Stegostoma tigrinum: one gene and its partners. The protein of the gene in region 2 binds, or shares a complex with, the protein of the main gene of each other region. Links are inferred from orthologs where the notes say so. Each region holds a gene or a part of one and is shown on either strand. Other genes may lie near its edges.

Evidence for each region.
Region 1: voltage-dependent L-type calcium channel subunit beta-2-like (region 2) and voltage-dependent L-type calcium channel subunit alpha-1C-like share a complex: the UniProt entries of both Homo sapiens proteins name them as parts of the calcium channel complex. The link is inferred for Stegostoma tigrinum from reciprocal best matches to the Homo sapiens genes CACNB2 and CACNA1C.
Region 3: voltage-dependent L-type calcium channel subunit beta-2-like (region 2) and voltage-dependent calcium channel gamma-1 subunit-like share a complex: the UniProt entries of both Homo sapiens proteins name them as parts of the calcium channel complex. The link is inferred for Stegostoma tigrinum from reciprocal best matches to the Homo sapiens genes CACNB2 and CACNG1.

Annotation. Positions count from the first base shown.
Region 1 is NC_081371.1:22,335,554-22,346,372, reverse strand, and holds the start of voltage-dependent L-type calcium channel subunit alpha-1C-like, read right to left. Parts: upstream 5,254-10,819; 5' UTR 5,126-5,253; coding exon 4,981-5,125; intron 1-4,980. UniProt on the Homo sapiens protein: Pore-forming, alpha-1C subunit of the voltage-gated calcium channel that gives rise to L-type calcium currents. Mediates influx of calcium ions into the cytoplasm, and thereby triggers calcium release from the sarcoplasm.
Region 2 is NC_081355.1:115,622,987-115,634,360, forward strand, and holds the start of voltage-dependent L-type calcium channel subunit beta-2-like, read left to right. Parts: upstream 1-6,317; 5' UTR 6,318-6,463; coding exon 6,464-6,532; intron 6,533-8,225; coding exon 8,226-8,318; intron 8,319-11,374. UniProt on the Homo sapiens protein: Beta subunit of voltage-dependent calcium channels which contributes to the function of the calcium channel by increasing peak calcium current. Plays a role in shifting voltage dependencies of activation and inactivation of the channel.
Region 3 is NC_081375.1:9,583,571-9,594,708, forward strand, and holds the start of voltage-dependent calcium channel gamma-1 subunit-like, read left to right. Parts: upstream 1-5,885; 5' UTR 5,886-5,975; coding exon 5,976-6,216; intron 6,217-11,138. UniProt on the Homo sapiens protein: Regulatory subunit of the voltage-gated calcium channel that gives rise to L-type calcium currents in skeletal muscle. Regulates channel inactivation kinetics.

The DNA.
Region 1 (10,819 bases), on a different chromosome or scaffold from region 2:
TCCAGGTTCTTGTTAGTAAAATAGGGCACCAAATTCCCATTCTCATGTAAATTTCTGCAAACATATAGGACAGCACGAGATTGCCAGCACTTTACCTGGTGTGTAACAGTCTCAAATATGGTGCTTGTATATCTCAGTTGTGGTCAGTACTTCTAGCTACAGTGAGTGGGAGATTTGGGTTAACATCAGATGAGAGGAGCACCATAGGAACCTCTTAGGAGCTAATGAGATGGATTTTGGACAACAACATGAGAAATCTCCCTGAGCCTCGTGGAGAGAAACCCTCCATGAAACCCAATGGAACTGCTACTTGATCGAAATGCAGTAAGGTAAAGCCCACAGTATAATCTCGTTTCAGGGTAGTTGATTTAATTGGATTGAACTCGTTGAATGAAAAGAACCTCTACGTCAAGACTATTTTAGTAATTCAGAGTTTAAAAGTTGATTTTAATTTTTTTTCAATTAATTTAAGTAACCTGTGTAATACATGTTAAATCAATTTTAAATTTAAGAGATTTCCCTCCTATTGCTACAATCATTGCAGTAAATCAAGTTGCCAAAGAAAAAGGTTACATTGAAGTAAAATGTCCTGTTTGTGCTTTGTGAATTGTAGGTACCATAAGGTTGAATTTTTTGTATGTTACATTTTTCCTTTTATTCCCGACATTTCTATAGTAGGTATTGTTGCAAAAATGCGCCACATAGAGAGTTTAAAATAGAACTACTCGCAAATTAATGATAATTGGAAGACTCAGGGTTTTCTTAATGTTATTTACAGTCTTGAATTTTTAAAGCTGTGACAATATTTAGGGCCAACTCTAAGGTTCCACAGAACAGGGAGGCATGAACCTGAGAGGCATTCAAATTTTTAGACTGAGCATGCTTAACTTCCTACAATGTGAAAATGAATCTTTCTTTTAAAAAAAATCTCTATCTTCGCTCATTTTTCTTCTGGATAGTATCAGTCATGTCTTAGAAGTTGAGAATAGACTCTGGACTTCTTCCTGTTCAATGGATAAGTCCTGTTCTCGACGAAGCAGTGGGTGCTGGTATCTGAGCAGTATCTAAATAATTCATAGTGATCATGCAGTCAGAAATGTATTTCTATCTCCATATTTTGGCATGTTCGTTGTATCATTTTGTCCTTCCTCAAGTGGTTGTCATTTGATTGCTTTAGTGGAGCCACTTATTTCTCACATTACAGCAGTGTCTATGTTTTCAAAAGATAGTAAATTGGCTGTATCATGCTTTTCATGATTGAAGGATCTTCCAAAGCATGCTGAAAATGCATTTTTAAAAAAATACGCTGTGTACTAAGACAAAGGCTAAGAATTAGATGCATCTGAATTAGAAATAGTTCTAAATGTTTTGGATGTGAACATTGCTGACAGTGCTATTATTTGTTCTGCATTCCTAATCTCCTTTGGAAGGTGGTGGTGAAGTCCAAATAGAGTACATAAGCAGTGTTATGCCTACACTGTGTTGAGGAAAGGAGTTTGAATATTTTGACTTGCTGACTGTGAAGGAATGGGGATGTGTTTCCAAGTCAGAGTGGTGTGTGGCTTGGAGGAGAATTTGTTGCTGGGATTTTCCATGCATCTGCTGCTCTTGCCTGACTAGGTGGTAAATATTGTGCATTAGGAAGGTGTTATTGAAGGAGCCTTGAGAAATTTCTGCAGGGAATCTGGTAAACGGTTTGCACTGTAGGAGCGCAGAGTACATGTTTTGAAGGTGATGCACAATTAAGCAAGTTTCATCCTCCTTGGATGATTTTGAACGTCTTCTGTTTTAGAACTACACTCATTCAGGCATATGGAGAATCTTTCATAATGCTCCTGATGTGAGTTTGTTCATGGTGGGTAGGCTTTATGCAGTCAAGACGTGTTACTTCCCTTAGATTGTGGAATTGCAGTGAGCGCAGGCCCCTTAGACTTTTCCCCTTTTGACCTACATTTCACTTTTTGACATCAGGTTTTATTATGTGTCACCACAGTTGTCATCAATTATTATCACTACTACACGGTAATGGAGTGGCCACAAATTGAGAAAACATTACCTAGGGTTACCCATAAATTGCAAATAATGGAAAGGTGCTTTGTATTCATGCCCTCTTCTACAAGATGCTGCTATTTTTCATCTGAAGGTGAGGTAGCTTACTGTATTGTAACTACATCTGACTGAGATGCCTATGGTTCCTATCATCTTGGAGGTGTCCATGGTATTTTCTCCAAAGGCAGTTGCACCTGGAACATAATTCCAGGCATGCAGTTCCACCTGGTTCTGCCCCAATGACTTTTTGGTCATCAGAATAACTGAATCAATGCTATGGATCTGATGTTTGGATAATCAACTTATTTGGGCATGTTGCGATCTATTCCCTGGCACATTGGACTTGAACTGGGATTTCCTAACTTGAACGTAGGGCGCTACCACTGCACCAGAAGTTCCTTGCAACATCATTTTTTTTATTTATTGTGTTTTAAGCCAATTGAACAATTTTTTGAGCCCAAAAAACCAACAAAATCTGATGTTCTAACAACTGAGCTAACCTGGTTGCTGTTAAATATGAGGTTGCTAATTGTCACGGTACAGATGTCCAGCTTACCCAATTCAAAGGTCAATGGTGGAGATGGTAGTTACAACAGTAGTAGTTGTGGAATTAGCATTTGCAAGGTAATAAAGAAGCCAATAATTAAACAAAACTCTGCTGATGGCCAGACATTGCTCATTTAATTTACTTTTGTAACTGAACCCATACTGAGAAGAAGTACTAGTTGAAATTTCACAGAGTGCCGAATTTGCATTTTTATTATTGAGGAAACTGATCTTTTTTAAACCAGGTCCATTTGTGTTCTTTGAACCATATAGAATAAGATGTGAGCACCAGCTAATGTGAATGGCATCCATAATAATGAATATTAGTGAGGACAGTTTGCATAGGTGAATTTGATTCCTGCACAATGCTCACGTGGAACATTTATTGTGCAAATATAGCATTTACTTCTTCATTGAAGGCCAGAACAAGCAGACAAGTGGCTGATGGAACTTAATAGAGACTGTGATTACAGTACTTGTTTTTCAGATGGGATGAAGATCGGGGTGAACTGAACTGTCATTTTCTGCTGTCGGAATATTGCCACATGCTGCTAGTGTTTATTTTTTGATTAGTAGCCATCTAGTTAAAGTCAGGATGGTGGGCGCAAGGTTCTAGAGGGTGGTCACAGCTGTTAGAACTGGATTTTAGTGACAGAAATGGTTTTCTTCAGATGGGGACGGAGAACAGACAAAGGTGATAAATCGATTCAATCGATATTGTTCCCTACCTAGCGAACAGGTATATTGAAGAAATCTGTATAACGGTCTTCAATTTTTGTAACTTCATGAGAATTTAAGGTTGTGGCTTAGTGGTAGCTCCCTTGCTTCGGAGTCAAAGATTGTGGCTCAAGTCCTATATAGAGATTTGAGCATTCAAATTAGCAGCTCAATGCAGTATTGAGGAGGTGTTGTGTGTGCAGTCTTTTGATGTGACTGTATATTGAGGCCCCAACTCTGTGTATTTGCAAACAAGTTCTCATAGTTCTATTTGAATTAGAGTTTCAAAGTTCTTGTGTCTCTGTCATTGTGTTTAGGCTTTTGAAGTAAGTTTAAATAAGATAATCTAATCATGGAATCCTTTGCTGAATAGCTTCATATTTCTTGCATTATAGTGACTACATTTCAAAGGTAATTAATTCGCTGTAGGTTACTTTGCAACACTGAGGTTTTGGTGCTGACACGTAATGTTTTAATTGTACTGATTAAATTTTTGTTATCATTCTAAATTACTTTAAAATAATGCATGCATAAAATGAAGCCACTATATATAGTTGCAAATGATTCATTTCTTAAACAAATTTTATCTACATGGCATAGAATTCTTACAGCGTGGAAACAGGCCGTTTGGCCCAACAAGTCCACACCAACCCTTGGAGCATCCCACCCAGACCCATCCCCCAAAAACGCACACACCGCTGTACAGGCTAGGTGGATTGGCATGGCCAATCCACCTCACCTGTACATGTTAGGACTGTGGGAGGAAACCGGAGCACCCAGAGGAAACCCACACAGACACGGGCAGAATGTGCAAACTCTGTGCAGATGGTCGCCCAAGGTTGGATTTGAACCTGGGTCCCTGGCACTGTGAGGCTGCAGTGCTAACCACTGAGCCACTGTGCTGCCCCATATATTAAACAAAGACTGTGAAGAATTTTAGAAGTGCAATTTAAATAACCTGATGAATTTCTGTTATAGTGCATTATGAAATTAATGTTTTGCTTGCATCATAAAAAATTGTGACCCCTGTTGAATAGCAAATAAAAACTGAAAGAACTGCAGATGGCTGTAAATCAAGAACAAAAACAGTTCTGAGGAAGGGTCACCAGACCCGAAACATTAACTCTGATTATTCTTCTTCAGAGATGCTGCCCGATCTCCTGAGGTTTTCCAGAAACTTCTGTTAAATCGTAGTTTGCTAAACAAATTTTTATGTTGCTTTGCAATAATGTATCAGGTATTCAAAGACTTGTTTTTTTATCAGGAAATTAGAGATGAATTTGGTATGTTTACAGCATTTCAGTAACTGAGGAAAAACACAAACTGCCAAGGTTACTATAAATTTCATAGTATTTTGGCAAATATAGTTTTTTGCACGTTTATTCTTTTAATTTTAAACATTACTTTTATGTTTATATTTGCAAAATTATTACAATTGTGATATCTGTCTGTTATTGATAAATTAAGACCGGGAAATATCAGTATTTAGGTATTTGTAAAGGTTGGTAATATAAATTTGATCACATTTGATGGGAGAGAAATGCAATTAAGACATCATCTTCTAATTTTGGATCCAAATCTAAAGTGCAGTTATTAAAACAACTTTTTTCTAAAATATTGTTTTAAACTGTTATCGTTTACATGGGCAAAGACATGAGAAAATCCTACCTCCAGGACAAGTGTAGAAGCAATTCAGCTGTGTCTCCTTCACAATTATGCCTTTGTACTTGATATCCATTGCTTGTGTTGGTTGTTTGGACAACTGTTTGGAGGCTTTCTGATGAAGAACTGATGGAAGCATTTTGCCTTCCATGGCAATAACACAATGTTCATTAAAAATACCTTTTGTTTTGCTGAATTCTCTGAAATCAATCTCTGAAAGTATGAGTTATTTCTTAGGTTCTGCCCATTGAAGCACAGATGAGGGGAGAATGCTTATTGTTTCTGTGTTACATTCAAAAGTGAGAGATGAAGGAGGACGGTGACTTTATATGTTGACTTCCTCCACTCTAAGGAGTTAAATTGTGGCATGCGTTTCTGCATCAGTGCTGACGTTTTGATATAGGGCCTTCATCTCATTAAGAGGAAACAAAGATAAAAAGTTTCAGCAATGCTCCAATTACAAGTCAGTTAAGATTATAAAATTCTCCCAAGAATTTGTCATGATCTTATAATGAACTTTCAAAACATTCTCTACATTTTTAACCCAGCTGTGTGTGGGAGCAGGTAGCGAGAGAAAAGAGAAAAGAAATGCACATTTGAAGCAAGTATTACTGATTAATACATCTTCTCGAGCCTCATAAAACAAAAATTACTAAAACATTTTTCATACTGAGGGAAGTGTGGGAAAATTAGGTATCAAGTTGGTATTATGTGTAGCATTGGTATAAGTTTATAGACCATATTTTAAACTGTGTTCATTTTAACAGAATAGTACAAAGTGTTCTTTGCATTCTGTTTGGGTTAATGCCATAAATCAGTTATTTGTTATAGCCAGATGAAATTGAGATTTTTTTTCTTTAAATGTCATGGCAATCAGGCTCGTTAATCGCTCTCCTATCAGCATCATAAGGTTGTGGGTATTCGAGGTTTGACATTCAGCTGCTCATTAAAAGAGCACGATTGATTGCTATTGACCAGTTAAGATTATAAAATTTTATAATCACTAGTAAGAAGGAACTTCAGCACCTACACTGACATGCAGTGGTATTGCCATCACTGAGCCAGCAGCATCAACTTCTTAATTAGAAACTGACTTGGACCAGCCACCCGCACAATGACCACTGGAAATCAGAAGCTGGATATTCTGTCAGAAATCACACGACACCAGGTTAAAGTCCAACAGGCTTATTTGAAATCACAAGCTTTTGGAGTGCAGCTACTTCGACAGGTGAAGTGACAGAGAAATACATAATGCAAAATTTATGAGCAGAAAGATCAAAAGATCAAACAAATGGTTGGGTGGAGTGTTGAATAATAAGTCTCTGCAGGTAATTGCAAGTGTTAGACTGTTTGAGTGAAGTGTCAGCAGCTGAATAACAAGCAAAGGGATTACCTATAATCCGATTAAATGAAGCAGAGAGATAATTACAAAAAATTAAAAATAAAGTGGTGCTGGTGACAAACCAAGTCATTGGAATAACACAACAGGTATAAGAGCTGCACACCAAGTGTCTTACCAAAGTAATAAGTCATCCAAAACTGTATAAACTAATTGAGAGGCCATAACAATTTATCCAGGTGATGGTGTCAAAACAGGAAGATGTTACAGATACAGTCAGTGCTGGGGGTCCAGTATAGCGTGACATAAATCCAAGATCATGTTTAAGGCTGCCTTTGTGGGTATGGAAGTTGACTATCAGTTTCTACTTGGCAGTTCTGCATTGTTGTGTATCTTGAAGGTCGCCTTGGAGGACACCTTAACTGAAGATCAGAAGCTGAATGTCCTTGACGGCTGAAGTGCTTCCCAACTGGGAGGGAACGTTCCTGTCTGGTGATTGCCTTGGGTCATCCTTGCCTGCAGCGAACGAGATACATGACCAAGTTGGCCAAGTCACGTGAACATCTGCCATGTGCATGGTGGGTGGTGTTCCATGAGTGATGGTAGTATCCATGTTAATGATCTGACATGTCATACAGAGATTGCTGTGGCAGGCTTGTGTGGTGGTGTGGTTGATGTCCTGAAGGCTGGGTGGTTTGCTACGAGCAATGGTCTGTTTAAGATTTGGTAGTTGTTTGAAGGTGAGAAGTGGAGGTGTAGGGATGATCTTGGCGAGATGCTTGTTGTCATTGATGACATGTTGAAGGCTGTGAAGAACTTTGTGTAGCCTCCCTGCTCTGGGAAAGTACAGGACAATGAAGGGTACTCTTATCAGTCATGTCCTGTCTGTCTGCTGAGGAGGTCATTATGGTTTTTTGCTGTGGCACGTCAAAACTGGCGATGGATGAGTTGAGCATCGTAGCCTATTATAAGGGCATCTTTTGAAACACTTAAGTATCCACCACATTTCTCCTCATCTGAACAGATCTTGTGTATTACTTTGCATAGACCCTCAGCATGCAATTCTTATATCTATCATGTTATTTCAGTCAGTTGGTTTGTCTCCAGCACCACGTTTTAGTTTTCATTTTTTGCAATTATCTCTCTCTATGTCAATTACTTGGATTATAGGTCATCCCTTTACTTGCTGTTCAGCTGTTGACATTTTACTGACACATCTAACACATTTGATCACCTGCAGAGACTTCTTATTTGTCACCCCAATCACATCATTTGTGTGAATTTTTTTGATCTCTATGCCCATAAATTCTGTGTCTGTGTGCTATTCTCTTACCTCACCTGATGAAGGGGCTACACTCTGAAGGCTTATGATTTCAAATAAACCTGTTGGACTGTAACCTGGTGTCATGTGACTTCTGACTTTGTTCTACCCAGTCCAACACTGGCACCTCCACATCATGGATATTATTTGCTTGCTTCCTGATGCCTCCTGCCTCCAGCCTCCAACCTCCACTACTGACAGAGGTATCACAGAATACTTTGCTTGCTTGGATGGGTTCAACTGTCACAACATGTTGGTGAACTGAACAAGCGCTTCAGCCATTGTTCTATGCTGAAAAGCCAGTGTACACCTACAAGATTCTCTGCAGCAGCTCACCAATGATTCTTCCTTTTACAGGAGTTAAAGTCTGGGACAGAACAGCCATGATCTTGTTCTTTAGTAGGACAGGCTTTTGTGTCTAAATGATAACAAAGTGTGGAGCTGGATGAACACAGCAGGCCAAGCAGCATCTCAGGAGCACAAAAGCTGACATTTCAGGCCTAGACCCTTCATCAGAGGGCCCGAAATGTCAGCTTTTGTGCTCCTGAGATGCTGATTGGCCTGCTGTGTTCATCCAGCTGCATACTTTGTTATCCTGGATTCTCCAGCATCTGCAGCTCCCATTATCTCTTTAGTGTCTAAATGGACTATTTTTAGTTCCTGTTTCTTACATTTTTGTTACCTCCCAAACTTACGACCTTCATACAGAAGGTAAGACAAGCAGCTGCATGGAAACATCGTAGTGGATGCGTCATTCCTGATTTTCAGGTAGATTACCATGCAATTACACATTTTATTATAACTGTTATGCTGTTGATTTACATCTGCAATTAGTTTTACAATCTTAGAATGTACAATTTCGGTTATCAGTTAATTGTTTTTCCTTTTGAATTTTTTAAGTAGATAAGAAAGGGTTCACATTTTCTTGACCACCTGACCTTGCAATGCACTTTACAGTGCAATTAAGTACTTTCTGAAGTCTAGTCACTGTTGTAAAATAAGATTCATGGCAACCAATTTATGCACTGCCAGCTGCCACAAACAACAATGTGGTAGTGAGCAGGTTATTTTTTTAATGATGCTGATTGGGGCACCAATATTGGTCAAGGATAACTTGCCTGCTGTTCGTTGAAATAGTGTCGTGTGACCTTGTACTTTTACCTGAGGGGGTGGATGGAGCCTAAGTTTAGCATTTCATGCCAAAGATGGCAGCTCCAGTAGTATAGCCCCCTTAGTACTGCACTTAAGTGACAACCTTGGTAATTTTTGTGTGCTTGCTTTCTGAATTGTGATCTTGAAAATCAGAGGGATGAGTGAACTGAACCACAGTTGACAAACACCTCATCCTCGCCCATCGCCCCCTCCTCCACAACCATTGCCTTACCCCCAAATTAGCAGTCCATTCACCTTGCAATGGCTGTCTGTTTAAGGTTCAATATGAGTGCAGTGATAAATTTTGCTGAATGGCCAAATGCATTATTACTTGGTTGGGAGTTTACTGGGATGGTGGAATGGCTTCCCTACTGGGGGAGCAGAGTAATTAAACATCCTGGCAGCAGTGTTCCCATTCCCAAATAAGGCTTTGATTCCATCAAGACTCCAGGAGACCGATCCAACAGAAGTGCTGCCTGTGGATGTCAGGCTTCCCTTAGTCAATTCCACCATATGTTTCAGGTTGTTGATTAGAATCTATTAAAAATACACTATATTAAAAAAAAACTTGTTAAAATTATTTTGTTTTTTGTTAAGGTTATTTTTCTTAGCGTTCAACAATTTGATTCTGTAGCCTACTGTTAGCAATTGTACTAAGGAGAAAAATATTTTCACTTCCGTTGAAAACCTCCTCCATTTCAAATCATTTGTTTAGTCAATCCGTACAACTTTCTGAAAATATGCCTTCAGTGTAGGTCCTTCGCTAGCAGGCAGAAAGCATGCTCAAATCTCTCCCTAGATTACTCAAACAAACTTGTTGGCACTTTAATTATCTCCTCTTCTGTGGAAAGTTTTGTCCATATCACATGATTAGGATTCAGGAGCTTGATACAGTAAATTCTGTAGAAACTGCAGTAATACTTAAATGTGCATTCGAAAATGTAGTGGGATTTGATAAATCAAATGGCACATTCTTCCTTGTGCTACTAATTTTTGGTTTTCTCTGAAACTAGTTGCAGTATATCTGCAAGTCGTATTTGCAGCCATGGAATGTGAAGATAATATGATTAATAATCTGTAGTAATATTTTATTTTCTTTGCAGAGAGAGATTAGGGGTGCATAAAAGATGAAAGTTGTCGAAAATTGCGTTTATTCATGATAGAAGTGATATTGTACTGTGACTGGAACCAAAATATAGTGCAGTGGTAGTATTGGTGAATCATACACTGCCCAGTGGACAAATGTCTTTTCCATATGAAATGCCTTGTTTAAATTTAATGTAATATTCCTAAAATAGTATAAACAGAATGGTAAAGTGAAGTTGAAACAGAAGCACATGATCCAAACGTAGATTTGCAGTTTATGATTGCTGTGTAATATTGACAATCTAATGACAATTAGTCAAAGCGATTCATTAAAATTTTATGATGTGGAGGTGCTGGTGTTCGGCCGGAGTGAGCAAGGTTAGAACTCATACAACATCAAGTTATAGTTCAACAGGTTTATTTAAAATCGCATGCTTTAGGAGTATTGCTCCTTTGTCAGGTGCCATGTGACGGGTGACATCAAAATTTTAATAAGGTTAGAATTAGCGGACTTTCTTGTAACTTCTGTGTCTTCATTATAAAGACAAAACTTATTGCCATTTGAAGTCTAAGTTGTGACTTGCACAGTCGTTTTCAACAATTATGCTGCTCATATTCCAGTTTATAGGAACTATTTTGAAATGAAAATGTTTCGATGTACCATCTAGAGTTGGGACTTATTTTGATGATGACAAAGAGCCAGATATGTGAAGCTGTAAAAATAGTTAAATACCATGCAGCCATTTTAAAAACAAGCTAATTAGTTTACAAAATTGAATGTTCTTTAAGATTGGTTAGATAGTAAATGCTCCACAGGAACTAATCAGGTATTCAATAATAAATATATCATGTCTATCCTTACATTCCAACAGTGATTGAGAAATGGTCCGAATCTATTTTCATGGATTGTCTCAACACACATAACTGCAACATGTAGACAGAGAAAT
Region 2 (11,374 bases):
AAGGATCATGTGCAGGCAGATGGGATTAGATTAGATGGCATCATGATCGACACACACATGGTGGGGTGAGGGGCTTGTTCCTGTGCTGTACCGTTCTATGTTCCTAACATGAGATATTTCCAATTGAATAGGCAAAACTTACAACTGCAGCAGGCATTGGGGTGAAAAACATAATAATGGATCAACCATCTGCTATGTAAGTCACAGTTGATCAATGTTCATTTCCATGTTAAGGGATGTCGGGGGATGTATAATGTACAGCTGATACAACATTACCCATGTTTGAAAATTGTGGCATATATCAGTGAGGCCAAGTTAGAAAAACATTTATTCTTCGCCTCTGGGGAAAACAACTTTGTTTATTTTATTAATCATCTAGTGTTTTCTTAAATTCCGAAATAGCGCATTTTGTTTGAAAATGCAACATTTGACGAAACTAGTTCAATAAAATTCTTCGTGGTAAAAAAAAGGAAAATGCCCTGAAACGTACACCAACCAAGATTCAGAATATAATCAAAAATAAGCAAGATGTTGTTGAGGTAAATCAAGAGATCATGAAAAAATCCAATTCTTGAATGCACACTTAGGCTAGTTCAATGCTTTAGAATTACATTCAGAATTTTAAACAGATCCTTTCAACTCGCTGCAACAGTAGGTAAGTCTTATTGCAACTGTACAAGATGACCATGTCTGGAGAACTGAGAGCAGTTTTGGTTTCCTTATTTAAGGAAATATATTGTTTCATTGCAGCCAGTCCAGAGAACAGTATTTCGGAAGAGCCCTGGTTTTGAGGGGGCATCTTATGGGCAAAGTCTAATCAAGTTGGATGTCTAGTCACTGGAATTTAAAAGAATGAGAGGTAACCTCATTGAAACATGTAAAATTCCTAATGTGTTTGACAGGGTAATTGCTGAGAACACATTTCCCCTCAGATATAGTCTAAGAGTATAAAACTGAGATGTGGAGGAATTTATGATCTCAGAGGGTCGTGAGTCTTCGGAACTCCTTGCTACAGAGACATGTGGGGACAGAGACCTTCTGTATGCTTAAGGCTGAGGCAAATAGATTTTTGGTCATCGGTGACAAGGCTAGGAAATTGGAAATGAGGAAGGTCGGATCAGCTATGATTGCATTGAATGGTGGAGCAAGCTTGATAGGCTCGATGGCTGAGAGCTCCTTGTCCTATTTTTTATGGTCTCATTAAGCAATTCAAGCTCAATCTTTATATTTTTCTACATTAGCAATCAGTTGACATATAGCCATGCAAATCTTCTATGCATTTATGCAGATAATTGCTGAAAATGCAATCTTTCTATTTTGAAATGAATATTTCTATTTTGATTTCAATTTCACCAGCTTTGTTGTATACTGCTAACAACAGCTATCATTACAACTATTACAGTTTCTATTTATTTGTAAATCTATTATAACTAAATACAAGAAAAAAGACAGGAGATGACTAATCAGTACATCAAACACATCCCATCCTAGTCATACATAACTTACATATACTATTTACCCCATTTCTATAGATGCCTTCATCTCATTACCTATACACATCCATGTGCAGGCAGTTGTGGGAGATGTAATAAATTTAGGAAGCAAGGTTAACTTGACTCTGAGCTCTTAAAGGGTCCCAGGAAAGCTCAAGGAGATCATGATGACTGCATGATCAATCCCTAATAACTCACCTGTTGTCTCATTAATTTATTCAACTCCCTTTTAACTGGGATCTTGCTTTTTTGTTGCACAAAATGGAAGACTACACTTTTCATATGAGGGTAAAATTCACATTTGCTCTGTTTGTATGCTGAAATTTTAGTGTCATTTGTCATCAACCAACAAGAAATAACAAACCAAACAAATGATCACTTCAGATGTTCAAACATCGACAGTTCTAATTCACATCTTTAATCTTCCACAGGCCCATCAAATGTCTCACAGGATGCATTACAGGAGGAGTGTGAACACTGCACAGAGGAAGATGGGGGGAATGTAAAATACATCAGATATTGAGCCCATTTCCTTCCCAACTATTCCCAGAGCCATTTATCCAATATAATGAGTAGGGAAAGGACCAGACTGCCATCGTTAATTCTGTTGATACCCTCAACTTTCCTTTTAGTAAAAGTTAAGGACATCAATCTGCCTGCAATGTAGCAAATTCTGGACAGGGGTTTGGCCTGAGCACAAAGGCTACTTCTAAACTGACATTTCCTGTGTGCATTTCAGATTGCCCTGCAAGATGTCACTGTCAGGTCTCCCTACCCTCATCCTTCTCCTCCCCTACTGAGTAGTGAATACTGAGAGAGTGCAGCACTGTCAGAGGTGTTAAAGTGTGAGGCTGGATGAACACAGCAGGCCAAGCAGCATCTCAGGAGCACAAAAGCTGACGTTTCGGGCCTAGACCCTTCATCAGAGAGGGTGGGTCTAGGCCCGAAACGTCAGCTTTTGTGCTCCTGAGATGCTGCTTGGCCTGCTGTGTTCATCCAGCCTCACATTTTATTATCTTGGAATCTCCAGCATCTGCAGCTCCCATTATCTCTGTCAGAGGTGTTGTTTGATTGAGGCATTAAATGAAAGTTCTGCCAGCAGTGTCAACGGTCTAAAAGATTTCATGGTTGAAGAAGACCAAATGAGTGATCTAAGTATCCTGGCCAATATTATCTCTCAATTAATGTCACTAAAATAGACCTTTGTTGTGTTGCTTCTTGTGGGAGATTGCTGTGTGCTGGTCTGACTAGCTCAGTTAGTAGAACATGAGACTCTTAATCTCAGGTTTGAGCCCTGCTTTGAGTGTTGCTGATTTCTCTGTGTGAAGCCCCATCCCTTCAGCAGTGTCACTATGACCACAATGAGTTTTTAGGGAGGGGCGTATATACTGCAGTGGTAGCATTCCCTACTGTTGAGCCACCTGCTCCAGAGATGAGTCTGAACAGATTGATTATAAATATCTGCAAACTGCCTCAATACCTAGTGAGCCAAGGGCATAACACAAAAAAAAGTATGTGCTGTGTTCAGATTGGCTGCTGCCTTCCACATTAAATCAATACGTTAAAAAGTATTTCATTGGCTGTCCAGCAGTTGTGAATGGCACGATATTAAGGCCAGTATTCACTTTGTCCATGCTGGCTCTTACAAATACTCGCTACACTCAGGATGCCACCCTCAGTAGGATTGGTTAGAATCTTGCCTTAGACCTTCATGTTCACTATCTCACTAATATTGTTGAAAAGTGCTGTTCTGATTATTGCTAGCAAGTGAGAAATGACAGTGAAGATGAAGCAAGGGAATGTGATGGAGGGTACTTTGATCAAACTGCTCCAGCTTCTCATCTATAGTACCCCTTCTTCCCTCAGTCACAGCTTCACGTGGAACCTCATCCTGATGACTGAAACCAGCCCTGTACAAGTGCACAGAGTGCAGTTTCTCACCAGCTCCCACAGCTCCAAAGCTTAGAGAAAGTCAAAAGAAAATCTCAGCAGTTAGAGCATGGATCTGAACAGCCTGAAACTACCTGACCACATCATGGAGGATTGGAAAAATAAATGGGAGAGTACATTCACAAAAATGTTATGTTGTTAAGGTTCTGCTTAGATTTTGAGCCAGGTAAAACTTGATGCTTGCTCACCTTGCTGGTCTTGCTATTCTCGCCAGTTGCCTAGTAAGTTGCCTCTCATGTGGGAGTGAAAAGGCAAGACATAAAGCCAAGCAATGATACATCGCACAGTGATGAGTTGTTAATTGCAGGGTCATTTTATGTTTGGGGAGGTGGGAGGGTTGGATTGGTGGGAAGGGCATGCATGTTCGGCATGTGGTTGCCAGATGGTGCAATGGTATAATCTAACTATGCCACTGAGGTATCCTGCACCTCAAAATGTTTCACTACTGGTGCCAGGCTCCCAATCCTCCTGTTCCTCCTTCTCTTCCTTTGCAGAGAAACCTCCTCTCCTGCATTTAAACCTCACTGTAGATGTACATTGTGTCAAGCACAGCCCAACACAAACACATTTAACACCCTGGCTGGAGCATATCAAAAGGCACCTTCTGATTCATTCAACATCAGAAATGCATCTTCTGCATCCCGTTTGTTGTCTCCATTGCACATTGCTACAATTATAACCATATGATGCTGCACTGTTGGACATCATTGCTTGAGCTCCTCATGGGTGTCATTTGTCACATTTTAAGATAACAGCCTTTGTCTCCAAGGAGCCAGGCTGTAAATCTATTCTGAGGCCAACATGCTAAAGTGCAGTAGATTACAGCAGAATGAATAAGTCACAGCAGCTCCCTGGGAATCTTTCACACAACTTTGAGCTGATCTTTTCATGGTCTCCCACATACACACTGCAGTACATTGACGGAGTAAAAATTCCTTCATGCTCATGAACACCCAAGGAAGTGCCTTGATACCCACATAAATGCTGCACAGGTGAAAGACAATCAGAATCCAAGGAGTGCTTCCTCATTCTGAATGCGCGTATTGATTGCAAAGTAACTACAGTGTCACCTGGTTAAGCTGTCACTATTCATCCCCCTCTCTCCCTATTTATTCCAGTTCCCTCCCCCCATCCCCCTCTCTGATGAAGGGTCCAGGCCCGAAACGTCCTCCCCCTCTCTCCCTATTTATTCCAGTTCCCTCCCCCCATCCCCCTCTCTGATGAAGGGTCTAGGCCCGAAACGTCAGCTTTTGTGCTCCTGAGATGCTGCTTGGCCTGCTGTGTTCATCCAGCCTCACATTTTATTATCTTGGAATCTCCAGCATCTGCAGTTCCCATTATCTCTGATACTATTCATCCAGTTGCAATTTACAGTTTATATTTATATTTGTAGTTTGCATATATATCCTGTAGACTCCTGGAATGATTGGAAGTTAAGGGCAATTGTCACTTTAGCAGCAGCCACTGGCAAAGATGCTCACTGAATCCAGTGGGAAGCACGTTTTCTACCAGTAGATCGCAGCACATACCATGAGCCTCTTGAGATCCTGCTGTTCAGCCATGAATCTATAAAACCTCTGATGTAATTAACACTCGTGTGAGCTACAACTGCTGTGCAGATTTGCCAGAAGAAGGCAGTTGCTGCTCCTCGTGTAAAGTTCAAGGTAAAGTATGTGAACAGCACTAATGCTGATATAATCAATGACAGACAGAAAGCCTCCTTCAATGCAGTAGAAATGACACCATATTGGAAATCACTCACAAATTAGTGAAAGTACACAAACTGTGTACAAATACTGAGAATGCTGTAAATCTGAAATAAAAACAGAAAATACTGGAGAAAATCAGCAGCATCTGTGGAGAGAGAAAAACAGTTCACATTTTGAGTCTATTTCACAACTTCAGTGATAGCACACTCTGGACACAGGCAGTGAGAATGAAAACCTCTCATTTAGTTAAGGATGGAGCTGATAAGTGTCAGTTCTTATTGCCGTTTTTGTTTGCTTGATATTTCTTCAAATTCCCTCGACTGCTCCCTTTGAAAGCCTTTGCTTTCACCATTGGGGTCCTGGAAGCTGTGGGCCCATAGTTAATTACACTGTAGGCTTCCTCTCACACTCTAATATGGCTGTTTGTGGGTAACATTTCAGGTGACAGCCTGACTTTCACACATGGGTGGGGTGCATTGTCACTTTCACACATGTTGAATGTGGAAGTTAAAAGATTTGGAGACAGCAAACGTATCCGGTTCTCTCCATGAACTTAACGTCAACCAACACCACCACCCCGACCTCGGCCAAATGTATTGGGAGCCGATTCCCCCAGCTCGAGTGGTGCATTTCACTCAAGGGTATTACACCGTTCTAATAGCTGGTTACATAGTGAGCTCCAGTGGCGACAGACTGCAATATCCACAAGCACATGTATGTATGGCCCAAAGGTTGAGGGTATGCAGCTTGAACAACGCGAGTGATTGTCAGATCTGGAAGTTGCTGAAATGTATTAACCTCTTCCTTCCGAATCCGGAAAGGCGATGGGTTGTATTATTGTGATGAAAAGAGCATTTAGTGATGGGCGCATTTGGCATCCCAAAGAAGTCGGCAATAAAGCCCCTCCCTCTCTCCTTCCTCCCCGCAGCCAGGAGGGCGGGGATTGCCTGAACCTTACATGTCTTGTAAAACCAAAGCACATCTGCTTTCCTTTTTTTAAGAAAAGCGTGTGGCACTTGTTTCCTCCGCGATGCGAGGTGCAACAGTCTCAGATTGAGAGAGGGAAGAAAACAGCAAACCGCAACTAAAGGCGAGGAGCCAAGTGCTGCTCCCACCCCCTTGTGGATGGAGCAGGGAATTTTCAGGGTGGGTTCTCCTTCCTCCCTCCCTCCCTCCCGGGCTTTGGGGGCGATGCCAGTTATTCAGTGATTTCACCAGCTACCGGGAAGTGAAATGTCCGTTTTCTCTCCGCTGGAGGGGATCAGTCCATAGCGAGCGTTCTCCTCACTGAGAAAGATCCCAGTCTGTCAGATGGTTCACAGCGACATGTCCAAAGCGCAGGAGATTCGGATGGGTATACTGGAAAACCCCAGCATGCAGGTAACTCGTAGCTTGATAGCAAGACATTTTATTCTCCCAAGTTTCTATTGTAGTTTTACACCGGTGTGCCATTGTGTGTGTGTGTGTGTGTGTGCGCTCGTGCCAATCTCTGCACGTCTATGTGTGTGTAAATATGTACCTGTGTGTGTACATAGGTATGTATCGATACACCTACATCTCGTAAGACTTGTTGAATGAACGCAGTAGTTTGCAGACTGCCGTTAACTGCTCGCCCATTCAGCTGCTAATATCTGGCTGTTTCTCTTCTGGCAAAGTAACAAATTGTACCTGCTTCTTACGAATGTCCTGGGGTGTGTTTAAAGTGTATTGATTCGTAAAAATCCAGTGGAAATCTGCCAATCTCTTGCAGCCGGGGATCTTCACACTGAAAAACGTACTCAGTTAACAAGCAGGTAAACTGAAGCGAACTTTAAGATCGCATTAGAAAGTTTTTTTTTTAACTGCCTTACCACCGGCTACCTGGTCGGATACAAGAGCTCGAGATCGACTCGCTGAGCTCTTTAGGATACATTGATCTAACTTCTTCCACTCCACTGTTAAATTTGTAATTTAACTTCGTAGATAAAATCCAAATTAAGGTCATCCTGTTATTTCTCGGTTTCTACTTAACGATAAAACTTTATATTTACATTTTTAAGGCATGAATTATTATTGGTCAAATTGCTTATGCGAAGAATTTATAATAGGATATTTTAAATACAAGGAGTTTGGCTGTGGTGTCTTCCTGGTTAACATTACATTCATTTACATGTAAACAAAGGAACATTGATTTTAACATCCAATATTCTCTCAAAAATAATGCATCATCTAAACATTGAAGTAATTTTTAAATAGAATGCATTGACATCCTTAGAAAAGCATTTGACTTTTATTTAACCATAAATTTGTGTTGACATATTTTTTGACAACAATGGCTTCTCACTAATGCTTTTGAACCTCCCCAGTCAAGTGAAAGAACACTTTATTGGAGGATCTTTCAGGATGGCAGTCCCTCAGGCTCATAAAATATTTTTCCCCCAATAGTTCCGGGAGTTTACCCCATTATTGACAGAAATAATTAACAGTGTACCTGTATCTAGATTATAAACCAGTGCACTGTATGATTTTAGACTTTAAATCCCTCCAGAGCATCAGTTTGTGGATTCAACAAAGTAATCAGTGATTTCAAAACACTATTTTAAGCAGATTTTACATGGAGTGTATTTGTAAAAGAGAATGCGACATTGTATACCTGTTCAAACTAGTAGCTTTTCTTTGGTCAGCCTATGAATTTTATGTAATGGCTAATTCTTATTGTTACAGACATGTGTAAGTCACTCAGCCCTGAATGCATTATTTGTGAAAGAAATAAATTACCATGTTCCTTCAAGTTAAATTGTTGGAATATGCAATTTTAATGTTTTCTTCAGTAAATTAGCTGCAATATTGCACCATTTTCATCACTTTGCAAAATGGCAATTTTTTTCTGATTTGAGTTTGTTTTTCGTTTTGAGCACACCTGTGGGTTTAAATTTTGTGGCTAATTCTCAGAAATATCGTTTTTAATTTGTTGAATGACTCAGAAGAAGGCCATTTGGCCCATTGAATTTTATTCCTTTTGATTTCACTAGTTAGACTGAGAATTAAGACTGACTTCCTGAAGGTGATGATATTGCATTATTATTTCTCTCAGATGTCTGGAAAAGGTGCAATTAGGAAAAACAGATTTAAAGGATCCGACGGGAGCACCTCCTCAGATACCACCTCTAACAGCTATGTGAGACAGGTAAGATCCAGATCTTATATGTTTTAATTGCTTTTTGATGAAAAACGTAATACCAATAATCATAATTCCAAAGATAACAATGTAACTTTAAGACCTAAACAATAGGAGTCATTGTGTTCTGTGCCCGTAACAAATCAGCCTTTGCTGATTTCATTGGGTAGATCACAACAATGACTGTGAAATATAGTGATAAAGTATACACCTCAATCTTTACTTTCTCTAAGATTTTACTTTTTTTGGAACAAAAACAGGATGACAGATTGAATAATAATAATAATATTTAATGCCTTGATTTTTCAGAAAAAATCTTTCCTGGCCTACTGTAGACTGAAATCACCTACATTCATGATATTGATGCACTTTGGGCCTGAACTCCTAGTTCAGCTCTAAATCTGAAACACCCCTCTTACGTATTGTAATATACTCATATTACTACATTTAGTGAACCCTTAAAAAAGGCCAAATCTGTCAATTTGTATTTAAACACAGGTGCAAGCTATGACCATTGGCTTTAGATCTGCTTCAGTGTTAATATTTTTTAAAAGCTTTACATCATTGGAAAGGCAGTATCAAGAAGGCAATTCATCATCACTTTCTCAAGGGCAACTGGGAATGGGCAAAAAATGCTGGCTAGCCAGCGATGCCCACATCCCCCAAATGAATAAAAAGGCTCTAAGATGTTACTCTTAAATTTGAAAATTGTAAAGGTGTTGTCTAAATAAAATGAATCTTACAAAGCATATGGGAGTAAATTCTTTAAAGATGGCTGTGTCCATTAATAATTATTTATTGTAGCATTCTTTCAGTCATAGGAGACATTAATATGGTGAAAGGGAAGCATTTTTCCAATATTCCCCAAAAATAAAACATTGCATTTGTTTTAATCTCATATAAATATAAAATGTCGACCTGTTGGTCTTTGAGTGTTGGAAAGGTGTCAAACAGGCACGGTGAATACCAGCTGGCTGAGAATTAAAATGTTATAAGTAGCAGCCAGCTAACACTGCAAAACATATCGGACTTAGAAGACAGACAATAGTGTGAAATGGTGACTAAAGATATATCTGCAGGAGTGTGACAGAATATGTGACAGAGCATAACATGAAACAAATCAATCGGAATTTTACTTATTTCATTTTCTTCAGTGTGTTAATGTTGGACTGAGCTGTGGCTAAAGGCTGTCAAGGAGACCCTCATATCCAGGCTAATCAAGTCAGCGCTGTTCATGTTGGACTGTTTTATGCTTTTGATTCACAATAAATGCATTCTTGAATGGATGATGTTATTAATAGAGGCTGTTGTGATGTAGAATTGTGTTGCCATATCAAGCAATTGCTTGTTGCTTAGTATGCCTAATCTAGATATATTAATTTGCTATCAATATCTAACATTCTTCCCATTTTCCCATCCCTTTTACATACTTGTTTGAAGGCAAAATGGTGCCAACAAATCTCTTGGTGCCTGGTTTCTGAAATAAACTCATCAGCAATTGAAGACATGGTGTGAAATACCATTAGCGACTTATAAAAAAAACCTACTTCCTCTGGTGGATTATGTTATCACACCATGTGAGTGTGTTTGTCACTGTCAAAGAACAGGAACACTAAGCTTGGAAAAAAACTCTTCAGTAAAAAACAATGAAATTGCAAGACTTTGAATGTTTTAAGAAACTGACATCTTGCAACTTAAACCTAAAAACACTCGAACGAATTGTAATTTCAATTATGATTTCAATTGTTGTCAACTGTAGCTCAGAAACCAGCTATCAATGTCCTTCTGTTCAGTTGTTATTAATTTGATACGTCTGAAGACAGCAGCTAGTGCAGTTGAGTGTGAAAATACATTAAATTATGCTAATATTTTAGCTACAGTGTCTGATAATGTTTTTACAGGCATTGTATTGATGAAATGCTAACGGGGAAAGGTTTACCTAAATTTCCTCCTCATGCGACAACTGTGAAAATTACACAATAATATTCTTCACTCGACAACTTACAGAATTTTCGTAAAATTAACTTTTATTTTGATGAGCACACTGATAAAACTATTACAGCAAGTAACTTTACAAAAGAAGTTGTTGAGTTCTGAGGGAAGGGTCACCGGACTTGAAACGTTAACTCTGATTTTTTCTTCACAGATGCTGCCAGACCTGCTGAGCTTTTCCAGCAACTTTGTTTTTGTTCCTTAAAAAGAAACATGACCTGATTTTGAAACTAGTGGGGTTTTCTGTGGAGAATGCAATAAAGGATTATTTTTGGTATTACCTATTACTAAAACCATACAAAAACATTAAAACAAGACTGTTCAAATTTTATTACTCATTGTCGAATTAAATTGAGCCTGAATTCATATTATCCAGTTTATTGCTTTCTGTCCAAATGATTCCAGTTCCCTTGCTTACAATTACATCATTTTAAGATTGTTTTTCGTTGTCAATTGCCAAGCTGAATCATAAATCTAGTCGAAAATTCAACAACCTAGTTACTTGGTTCAATGTGTTATAGGTTGTGATTAAATCCACCAGTATCATCTGAGATTCTCTGAGATAGGGATGGCAACTGGAATGTGGTCCTTTATTACATAGCGAATGGAATATTAAAATATTGCAATTTTCATAAAACTATACAAGGCAATAGTCAGATCACACCTCCTATACTGTGAAAAGTTTTGGTCCTTTTATTTGAGGAATGGCACACTCTGGCAGTCTACAGAAGGTTTACCAGATTGAGCCCAGGTAAAAAAGGGCTTTCTTATGAGGAGAGTTTGAATCAGTTGGGTGTGTACTCATTGGAGTTTAGAAAAATGAGAAGTGCCCTTCTTGAAACTCATTAGATTTCTACAGGGTTTGTTAAGGTGGATGTGTAAGATTGTTTCACCTTGTGGCAGAGTTCAGAATTGGAGGGCATAATCTCAGTAAGGGGTCACCCATATGAAGACTGAGATGAGGAAGGATTTCTTCCCTGAAGGTAGTGAACCTGTGGAATTCTTTACTGCAGAGCTGTGAGTATTGAGTAAAGTGAAGCCAAGTCGGAGGTAGGCATTTGTTTTTAAACAAT
Region 3 (11,138 bases), on a different chromosome or scaffold from region 2:
GCCTTCTCCACCCTCACTCCCCCAGATCCCACCGTCTCCCCACACCCCAACCCCCACAGCCTTCTCCACCCCCACTCCCCCAGGTCCCACCGTCTCCCCACATGCCAACCCCCACAGCCTTCTCCACCCCCACTCCCCCAGTTCCCACCGTCTCCCCACACCCCAGCCCCCACAGCCTTCTCCACCCCCACTCCCCCAGATCCCACCGTCTCCCCACACCCCAACCCCCACAGCCTTCACCACCCCCACTCCCCCAGTTCCCACCATCTCCCCACACCCCAACCCCCACAGCCTTCTCCACCCTCACGCCCCAGCTCCCACAGCCGTTTCCACCCCCAGCTCCTACAGCTTTCTCCATTCCCAACCCCCACCTCATTCCCACCGTCTCCCCACCCCTCAGCTCCCACAGCCCTTTCCACCCTCACGCCCCCCCAGCTCCCACAGCTATTTCTACCCCCAAGCCCCCAGCTCCCAAAGCCTTTTCCACCCCCAGCTCCTACTGCCTTGTCCACCCCAACCCCCAGTTCCCACCATCTCCCCATGGCCCCCAGCTCCCACAGCCTTCTCCACTCCCACCCCCCATTTCCCACCGTCTCACCACCCCTCAAGCCCCCCAGCTCCCACAGCTATTTCTACCCCCAAGCCCCCAGCTCCCAAAGCCTTTTCCACCCCCAGCTCCTACAGCCTTCTCCACCCCCATCCCTCAGTTCCCACTGTCTCCCAGCCCACCCCAGCTCCCTCAGCTTTTTCCACCCCAATCCCCCAAGATCCCACCGTCTCCCCACGTCTCCAGCTCCCACAACCTTCTCCACCCCCACTCCCCAGCTCCCACACCGACTCCCTTTACTCGTCCCCCCACTCCCCCAGCTTCCACTGTCTCCCCAACCTCCAGCTCCCACCGCCTTATCCCCACTCCCCCAGCATCCACACCATTCCCCTACCCATGTTCCCAGCTCCCACACTGCCTGCCCTCACAACCCCCATCTCCCACCGCCTCCCTTTCCCCCTCCCTCACTTTCCCAGCTTCCATCCCCTCCCCTACCTCACTGGCCCATCTCCCACCTCCTCACCCCTCACCGGAGACCCCAGCCCCAACAGCATTCTCCACCTTCCAGCAGCCCCCCCCTCCAGATTCCAATCCCTCTCCACCCACCCCCGCCATACTCCCACAGCTTCCATTCCCTTCCCTTCCACCCCAGCCCCTCACCCTCTACCGTCTCTTCCACCCTCTCCAGATCCTGTAGCCTCCCCCTCCACACCCCCCTCACCTCCAACCGCCTGCCGTCAACATTCCTCCACCCCTCTATCCCTGTTCCAAAGGGAATGACCTAATCATAGGACACCCCCCATCTCCCCCCACCGGCGGGGTTTTGTTTTCATTGCTGTGGCGCCTGCTTGGACAAGCAGCAAGTGTTAGACCGAGAGAGGAACTGCGACCAGGTAAAGGTGGAGGCGGGGTGAGGGAGGTCACCCAGGACAGGGCGGGAGGGTGAGAGGGCTGAGGGAAGGAAACATAGAAGAGGGAAAGGAAAGGCTTTGGGAACATCGCCCAATTCCTTCCCCCCCCCCCCCCCCCCACCCCGAAAGCCTGATGTGCCCACACAGTCCCAGCCGGTGAACATTTTGTAACATTTAATAGACTCGCAGCATCTCCTGAGTGTTCACCCGAGCCCGGGGCCACAGATTCCGGGTTCCCCTTCGGTGTCCGTGCCCCCATTGCCACAGCGCCCCCCCACCCCCCACCCGGGCTTTCATGTTGCGTTGCATTTCCTGGCTTCGGTTCTCACAACCCCCAAACCCCCCAGCGCCCCCAACACTGGGGTGGTGTTTCCGACCTCCCGGGGGATGAGGGGGCCGTGAGAGTGGGAGGGAGGGGGGCGGTGATGTTATTGGCCACAGTAGGCAACTTCTCCTCTCCTCACCCCGCCCGCTTCCCCGAGAGATACCACCCTACCCTACCCCCGTGCCCCCGCTTTGAGTCAGTGCGTGTGAGGAGGCGGCGGTGAACTGACATCTGAATACTGTCTATTCCCAGAGTCTGGAATCTCTTCCGCATCCACTCAGTGCTGGGGATGGGAAGAGCAGACCCTCAGTGTCTCCATTGGTTTGTGTTTCTTGTGATTTCTCCCATTAGATTGTCACACGTGTCCCTGTAAAACTGTGAATGATTAGATACTGCGTGTAGTCCGTGGGGAGCCCTACTAAAACTGATGTAGAATTAAGTGACTGTGGAAATAGTGGCTGGAGAGAAATGCTCCGAAGTAGCGCGTTCAGCTTTGTACGTGGATTGGGTTACTGTCAAGTGTTTGTGATAATAAAGCAATCTCTGGATGAACGGGAGTCTCCGCTGCTGAGGAGAAAGGAAGTGTCTGTTCATTGAAAAATCATTGAGTCTGCGTTTGACTGGGATCAGAGTTGGAGACAGTCAGGTGGAACTACTTGAAGCTCCATCTCACGTCCCTTTAGTCGTACAACGACAGGACAATTGGACGAACTTAAAAAAAAAATCAGAGGTCACACGACCTGACCTTTTCTGAAGAATGGTCTAGTCCCGAAACGTCAGCTTTCCTGCTCCTCTGATGCTGCTTGGCCTGCTGTGTTCATCCAGCTCTACACCTCGTTATGTCAAAGGTCACACGACACCAGGTTATACTCCGACAGGCTAATGTGAAAACACAAGCTTACGTAGTGCTGCTCCTTCGTCAAGTGACGTGCTTCCTGTTGCTCTATGACCTGATGTTGTGTGACTTCTGACCCTGTCCACTCCAGCTCAACACTGGTTCCTTCGCAATCAAAAAGAAAATACCTTAAAATACACACAAGAAGATGATGTTATAGAGGCAGACCAACAGAAGCACTCCAGTGAACTTTCAAAATATTTTATTCTTTCAGTTAATGTGGGCATCACTGGCAAGGCCAGCATTTATGCCCCCCCCCCCCCCCCCCGGTCTCCTCCTGCCCATTACCCTTGAACTGAATGGCTGGCTCAGCCATTTCAGAGGGCAGTAAGAGTCAGCCACATTTCCGTGGGTCTGGAGTCACATGTAGGCCAGACCGGGTAAAGAAGGCAGATTTCCTCCCCTCAAGGGATTCGTCAAATTGTCACTGAAGGACAGTCTCAAGCAGGGGTGATGATCATGTCCACAGCAGGCGAGAGAACCCGGTAACCCGGGGCCTGGGGCGGAAGCTCGGCAAGTTCCAACCGGCTCGCTCTCTTCTCGACCCAAGCCAGGGAGAGCTGACTGGTACCAGTCTGCTAGCTGATGCCTACAACATCACATTTCCCCGACCCCAGACCACCCCACCCCCCTTATAATGAACGGGAAAGCGCTGAGGAAGACATTAGCTGTGCCCTAACACAAGATACCAATTGACTGCCTCAGGCCAAGAGTGGGCGTCACGGAGCTGGATAATAAGACAGAAATGGGGGTGGGGGTGGCCGGGAATCCCAAAGAACTGCGGATGCTGGAAATCAGAAATTGCTGGAAAAACTCAGCAGGTCAGGCAGCATCAGAACTTTTCTGAAGAAGGGTCACTAGGACGAAAACTCTTTTATTTCCCCTCTCCACAGGATACTGCCTGATTTGCCGAGTTTTTATCTTGCCCCCACTCATTTCTGATTTTGATGCTAAGGAAGGAATCTCGAAAGAGCTTTCTCGGAAAATTCCTAGAGTTTCCAGTGTTACTTAACGCATGATGGTGATGCTGAGAATCGGTGCGTGTGAGAGTTGGCGCAGTGTGAAGGTTCACTGATAGTCTGGTAGTTGCTCGAGTGGGACGACAACACAAGGAACACACATTAGCCAAACCATCAGGGGTGGGAGCAAAGTCCATCACAGTGCATTTCCTCGCAGCAGGGTTTGAGTGACAGGCCAAGAGCAAAGTTAGCTTAACATGGTCAGATAGATTTAAGCGACTCTTGGATAGGCACAAGGAGGATAGTAAAATGTAGGGTTGTTGCGGAGTAATTTTATCTTAGAGTAGGATAATAGGTCGGCACATCATCATGGGCCGAAGGGCCTGTGCTGTTACTGTTCTATGTTCATGACCCGCAAGCTCATCACTTACTCCCTTACACTGGAAGGTTTTGTTTGGATTCTGTCAGCACTGGGGAGTCTGTGGAACCAGGAGTGCACGCTGTTCCCCTTTTTAATTGCAGCCTCCTCTGGGAAGAGACCGCAGGTCCATTGGGGTTTGCGGGATGGAGGGGGGGGGGGGGGGGGGGGGGAGACAGACAATGAGAATGAGACTTGGCCAAAAAACCAGCGCCACTCCTCGGCCCTCCAGGGACCGAGTCTGAAACTCCTGCCCAGCTCAGGGTTGCGCTTATTCCCGGATCATGTCCTCTCGGGGCCCACAGCCTCTGAATGAATGAAAGCCCCAGCACTCCCTATACCCTGTCCCCTCCGGGGTACCCGCTGGCAACAGTCTCACAGCTTGGCACTCTTACAAGCCCTAACCACCTTCCCCCCTTTCTGGCTGGGCTGGTCAGCAGTTGACACAGCTCGGTGCTGACTGTAGGGAGACGCGGTGTAGAGTAAAAGATAACAGGAACTGCAGATTGCTGGAGAATCCTAGATAACAAGGTGTAGAGCTGGAAGTTGCTGCTTGGCCTGCTGTGTACATCCAGCTCCACACGGAGCTGTTATCTCGGATTCTCCAGCATCTGCAGTTCCTACTATCTCCGATACCATTTTAACTTCACTGCGAAGCCTCTTCTCAGGATGCCTAACCTGAAGACGTTACCCTCCTCCCTCCGGACAAACCTCAGAGGATCTCTCTCCCACTGCAACCTATCTCTTGCCTACCTCCCCACCAACACTCACCTCTACTGGGTCCAACCCCGCCTCTTTAACTTGTCTGTCTCCTCCTAAGGGCCTGAACTGTGCTGTACTGTTCTATGTAATCCCCTGATCCATGTTATCGCTGAGTTCTTTTCAGAGCTTCTGACCTATCCCCTCCCTACCTCCCCACCTATACCCTCCTTTCCACCTATCTTCTCGTCTATCCATCTTCTATCCGCCTCCCCCTCTCTCCCTATTTATTTCAGAACCCCCTTCCCTCCCCCATTTCTGAAGAAGTGTCTAGGCCCGAAACGTCAGCTTTCCTGCTCCTAAGATGCTGCTTGGCCCAGTGTAGAATAAAGCGGGTCGGGTGGGGTGGGGGGAGAGCGGGGTGGTGTGGGCTCCTTTGGTGCATGGTAGTGACCCTAGTTCTGAGCTAGAGGAACCCGGGTTCAAGTCCCACCAGGTCCACAGGTGTGTCTCAACGTCCCTCAACAAGCTGGCGAGGAAAGCTCCACAATAAGGCGAGTGTGGGTCCGACATTCAGAGTGGGACCTGCCTGAAACTGTCCCAGACTGAATGACGAGGAGACTGGGCAGAGATCTCCTCTCCCCCAGATAGCACTGCGATTCTTGTTCCTCTCCGTGGAGACCTCGGCCACCTGACTCCCAGACCAGCGGTCGCCTTCAAATCTGACAGTTCCTTGAATGTGGAACTGTGATATAAATATACACACGGCAGCGCCCGGCCGGGAACAGCTCCTAATAGAAAGCTATTCAACGCCGGGCCAATTCACTCACAAGTTTGGGGGCCAGTGTGCGTGTGAGGGGGTGGGGAGGCGTGTCACACGAGGGGCGCAGAGGAGGCTCCCGACAAACCCTCAGCAAGCATCCCATATACTAACCTCCCACCCCAACCCCGCCATTCCTGAAGGTTACAATCGTCCCGGAATGGAATTACATCCCCCCCCGGGGTAGAATGGCTCACGCGTCGGTCTCTGTCAACCTGAGGCTCCCATATACAGAGAGCAGCAACTGGGCAGTGCCAAGGCCAGTCTAGAGTGCATTGGCCAGCCACCAGACGCCCACCCCCCCCCCCCAACCTCCCCGAAACCAGCCCCGGGGGTTCGGGGAGCGGTCAGTCAGTGCAGGTGCTGAGAGCACCAGCACCTTCCTGCTCTTCCGCAGCACTATGGAGGAGGGTAAAGCAAGCAAGATAAAACTCACCTTCTGTGTGATCGCGGTGGGTATCATCCTGGCGATTGTGGCGGTCAGCACCGACCACTGGGCAGGGCTCAGCCCCCGGCTGGAGAGAACCAACTCCACTTGCGAGGAGGCTCACTTCGGCCTCTGGAAACTGTGCACGAAGAGGGTCTTTGTCCGGAGTGTGGACCCGGACGGGAAGGGCTGTGGGAATGCCGACCTGCCAGGAGGTAAGAGAGAGAGCTGTCCTCAGGCACACTCCAGGTCTGAGGCAGGAACTCAGCGGGCTGCAGCTACCTCTCTGTCTGAAAAGAATTCATTCTGAACTTCTCTCCAAATTTACCGCGGTCAGTTGGCCAGCACTTGAGTTGAGCAGAAATTACAACATAAAGGGATTCTTATTGTGTATGTCTTCATACAGTGTCACTACAGCCCCTGGTTGTGTGAACGGTAATAGGTGGGTATACACTGTCCTTTATGCCGCTTTTAATTCACTCCTGGGACATCAGTGCCACATTTATTTGCCCGTTCCTAGTTGTTCCTTTAGAATGTTGTCTTCTTGAACCATTGTAGTCTATGTGCTGTAAACCCACAATGCCATTAGGGAGGGAATTCATAGTGAGTAAGTATTCCCCAGGACAGGGAAGTCCAGATCCAGGCCTCACAGTCTAAGGATCCTGGTTAGATAAAAAGATAAAAAGATCTTCACCCAGAGAGAGTGGTAAGCCTATCGATTCACTGTCACAGAAAACTGGCCAAAACATCGTACGATTTTAAGAAGGAATTGGCTATAGCAATTGGAGCTGAAGCGGTCAAATGATATGTGCAGAAAGCAGGAGCAGACTGATGATCAGTCACAGAGTCATACAACACAGAAACAGGCCCTTCGGCCCAACCTGTGCATACTGACCAGGTCTTCCTGAACTGAACTAGTTCCATTTTCATGCTTTGGGCCCATATCGCTCTAAACCTTCTCCTATTCACGTCACTGTTCGATTTTTTTTAAAAAAATGTAATTATACCAGCCTCTAACACCTCCTCTGGCGGCTCGTTCCGTACATGCACCGCCCTCTGCGTGAAAAAGTTGCCCATCAGGTCCCTTTGAAATCTTTCCACTTTCACAGTAAACCCCTAGTTTTGGAGCCTCCTACTCTCAGTAGAAAGACGTTGATTACTGACCTTATTCATGCCCCCTCATGATTTTATAAGCCTCTATAAGGTCAACTCCCAGCCTGCTACTGAGAAATAGTCCCAGCCTATCCAGCCTCTCCTTATAAGTCATGATCTTAATGAATGGCAGAGCAGGCTCGAGGGTCCGACTCCCGCTCCACGTAGAGACATTAAGAACTGCCGCTGCTGGAGTCTGAGATAACAAGGTGTGGAGCTGAAGGAACACAGCAGGCCAGGCAGCATCAGAGGAGCAGGAAAGTTGGCGTTTCGGGTCGGGACCCTGCTTCTTCAGCTCCAGTTCTACACTATTACATGGGTGACAGTGAAATAAATGCAGGATAGTTTGATCTTAGAGTAGGATAATAGGTCAGCACTAAGGGCCTGTATTGATCTATGTTATCTCCTGCTCCATGTTATCTGTGTTTGTCTCTGTATCAACTCCCATGTGCCTTCATAGTGTATTAGCAACGGACTCAATCTTCACCAATCTGCAACGGAGCAGGCCCAATAGAGACGGGACCCAGCAGGTTCATGTCCAGGCCAGCTCCTCTCCGTCCATTGAATGGTACAATTAAAAAACAAAGGCTGAGTTCTTTTCAGAGCTTCCGACCTATCCCCTCCCGACCTCCCCACCAATACTCCCCTCTCCACCTATCTTCTCCTCTACTCGACCCGCCTCCCCCTCTCTCCCTATTTATTCCAGTTCCCTCTCCCCATCTCCCTCTCTGATGAAGGGTCTAGGCCCGAAACCGTCAGCTTTTGAGCTCCTCTGACGCTGCTTGGCCTGCTGTGTTCATCCAGCCCCACACTTTGTTGCCTCCAAGAGTGCAGGGAGCCGGGAACGCTGTATGCCAGCGAGCAGCCTGGGAACGGGGCGAGAGTTGAGTATTGGACACAAGCTCGAGTTCGGCTGAGAACATTGCCCGTGGCTTTTTAAAACAGAAAATCTTCAGCATCGGCGGGAATGTTTAGACCCTGTAATCAACGTGATGGTGAGAGTAGCCAGGCAGATCCCTCCGGCTGCACTAACCCCTTAAAAAAGAATTTTAGACTAAGCTGCCGCTCACTGCAAACACGCCTGGAACAGGTGCTGGAGTGTAAAGGTATCCGAGCGGTCCCGGAGTTAAATATACCATCAACAGAATTCCAGCCTCTCGCTCACTTTAACACAAGCATCTTGTCTCTGGGTTTATCAAGCATATCCTTCAGCATCATCGGCTCTCTGATAATTCACCAGGTATTTAGGGGTGAAGCAAGCTTCCAGTCAGCACCATGTCAGTGACAATATGTAATTATTACTTCAAGGTCTCTGTCTCTACAGCTTCATCTGAAATCCTGTGCAGCATAATAACTTCCTGGTAGCAGCCCGGAATATACAGTTCATTAAGAGTTTAACAGACATGTCGCTTTCTGCTCTTCGCTTGGTTGGACCGTGTCGTCGGTATTTCATAGGCTCATAGAACGCCTTCAGTGTGGAAACAGGCCCTTCGGCCCAACAAGTCCAAGTTGACCCTTGGAGCATCCCAGCAGATCCAGCCCCCTTTAACCCACCTAATTTACACATCCCTGTATACTACAGGCAATTTAGCATGGCCAATCCAAATAGCCTGCACATCTTTGGACTGTGGGAGGACACCCACGCAGACACGGGGAGAATGTGCAAACTCCACACAGACAGTCGCCCGGGTCCCCGGCGCTGTGAGGCTGCAGTGCCAATCACTGAGCCACCGTAACCAAGCCCCCTTTCAGAGAAATGATGAGGGGCATGGATAGGGTGAAGAGTCAAAGTCTTTTCCCCAGGGCAGGGGAATCCAAAACTAGAGAGGTGTGGGTTGAAGATGAGAGGGGAAAGATTTAAAAGGGACCTGAGGGGTAACTTTTTCCACGCAGAGGGTGATGCGTGTATGCAATGAGCTGCCAAAGGAAGTGGTACAGGCTGGCACAATTACAACATTTAAAAGCCATCTGGATGGGAAGGGTTCAGAGGGATATGGGCCAAATGCTGGAAAATGGGACCAGATTTGTTTAGGATATCTGGTGGGCATAGATGAGTCAGGCTGAAGGGTCCTGTTTCTGTGTTGTACATCTCTGTGACTCCATGACTGTGTGTTATCACACACCTCTGGAACAGCTTGGATTTGAACTGGGCTGCCTGGCTCAGAAGCAAAAACAGAAATTGCTGAAAAAGCTCAGCAGTTCTGGCAGTGTCTGTGGAGAGAAACCAGAATTAACATTTTGGATCTGGTGACTCTTCCTCCTGGTTCAGAGATAGAGATACTACCACAAGAGCCCCAAATAATTGTGACTTGGGCGTGTTGTACCCCAAGTCTCACATCTATGGTTAGATCAATAGCAACATTTGGAGTGAAGGTGCATTTGCTTACTATCATATTTCCGTCAATCATGCTGTTTAAATCTTTCTGTAATCCTGGACTAACCCTGCTTTGATTTGAATGGACCTTGTAGTTTATCAGCTGCAAATTTGACTAATTTATACCAAGCTTCTGAAGGTAAGGACTCACCAATTTCTCAAATAGCTTGGTCCATTTGTCTGCCAGGTTTTAGAGGTAGCCTGTTTGTTCCTCGGTCTGATGGCTTTGAGTTCACATTCCACACCAGAGATTTCACAGTACATGTAGGACTGAGCAGGTGCTGCACCTTCAGAGCTGACACCTTGTTGATAAAATATTTTTAAAAAATTATTTAAAACTGAAATACAGCTATGGAGTCCACCCGAGAGGGCAGTATCTCAAACGAGGGAATGCGACTTCTCTCCAGGGTCTTGGCCAGAATTCATCTTTCACCCCCAATCATGGGAGATAGGTATCCACTCTTTATTACATTTTTGGGAGCTTGCTCTGCAAGAATAGGCTCTCATGTTTCTTACATTCCAACAATGACTTTAGTTTAATAGCATATAATTGGCTGTTAATACTTTGAGATGGCCCCAGGCCTTGGCTGTGATTGCGCTCTATATTTTAGCCAATTCCTTATCTATTCCCAAAATTAATTTGGAATCTTTGGGTTTTAAGTCACCTTTTTAATTCCAGTTACCTTTGGAAACCAAACTATGGAAAACCTGAGAGTTGAGTTTGGTTGTTACTTGGTCCAAAATGATTGTTATGTGGGATCAACCACATTGACTGATCTTGACTGGGTTGTAAAACCTCTACTCAGATTTTCTCCAATGAATTGGTCCCATCAATTTGCACGCAGTGGAAGTAAGTCCATGGATCTGAAGTTATACATCTTTTCTATAACTATTTTTGAATTCACACATTCACACATTCTAATTTTGTTGTCAATTTACAACAGTGTCTACACACTCAAAAGCATTTCATTGGCTGTAAAGAACTTTGGGAACATCCTGTGGTTGGGAAAAATACTGCGTAAAAATTATAAGTAATAGGAGGAGTAGGCTATTTGGCCCATCTAGGCCAGTTTGCCATTCACTAAAATCATGGCCAATCTGTGTCCTCAACTCCACTATCTTGGATGACCTCAGAAACCTAATACCTTCTTGATCAAAAACCTATTTACTCAGCCTTGACTGAATTCACAGGATCCAATTGCTGTCTGGGATTTGGAATTCCAAAAACTACCAACCTTCTGAGTGGAGAATCTTCCTCGCTTCCATATTAAAAGGGACAGCCCTTACGTTTAATCTGCATTTCCCCATGTGGGAAACATAGTCACTTCTTTTCTATCAATCCCTGTCAAATTCTGATATGACTTCTCATTTTTCAAAACTTAACACACACCCAACCTGCTCAATCTTTCATCGGGAAATTTATTCAGGAATCACCGAGTGAACTTCTCTGAACTGCTAACCAATGCAAATATATCTCTCCTTAACTAAGGAAACCAAAACTGTGCACAGAACTCTAGATTTAGTCTCACCAATGCTCCATACATTTGGAGAGAGACTTCTCAAGTTTAATTCTCCTCTTCTTTAGCAGTAAAAGGCAATATTCAACTTGCC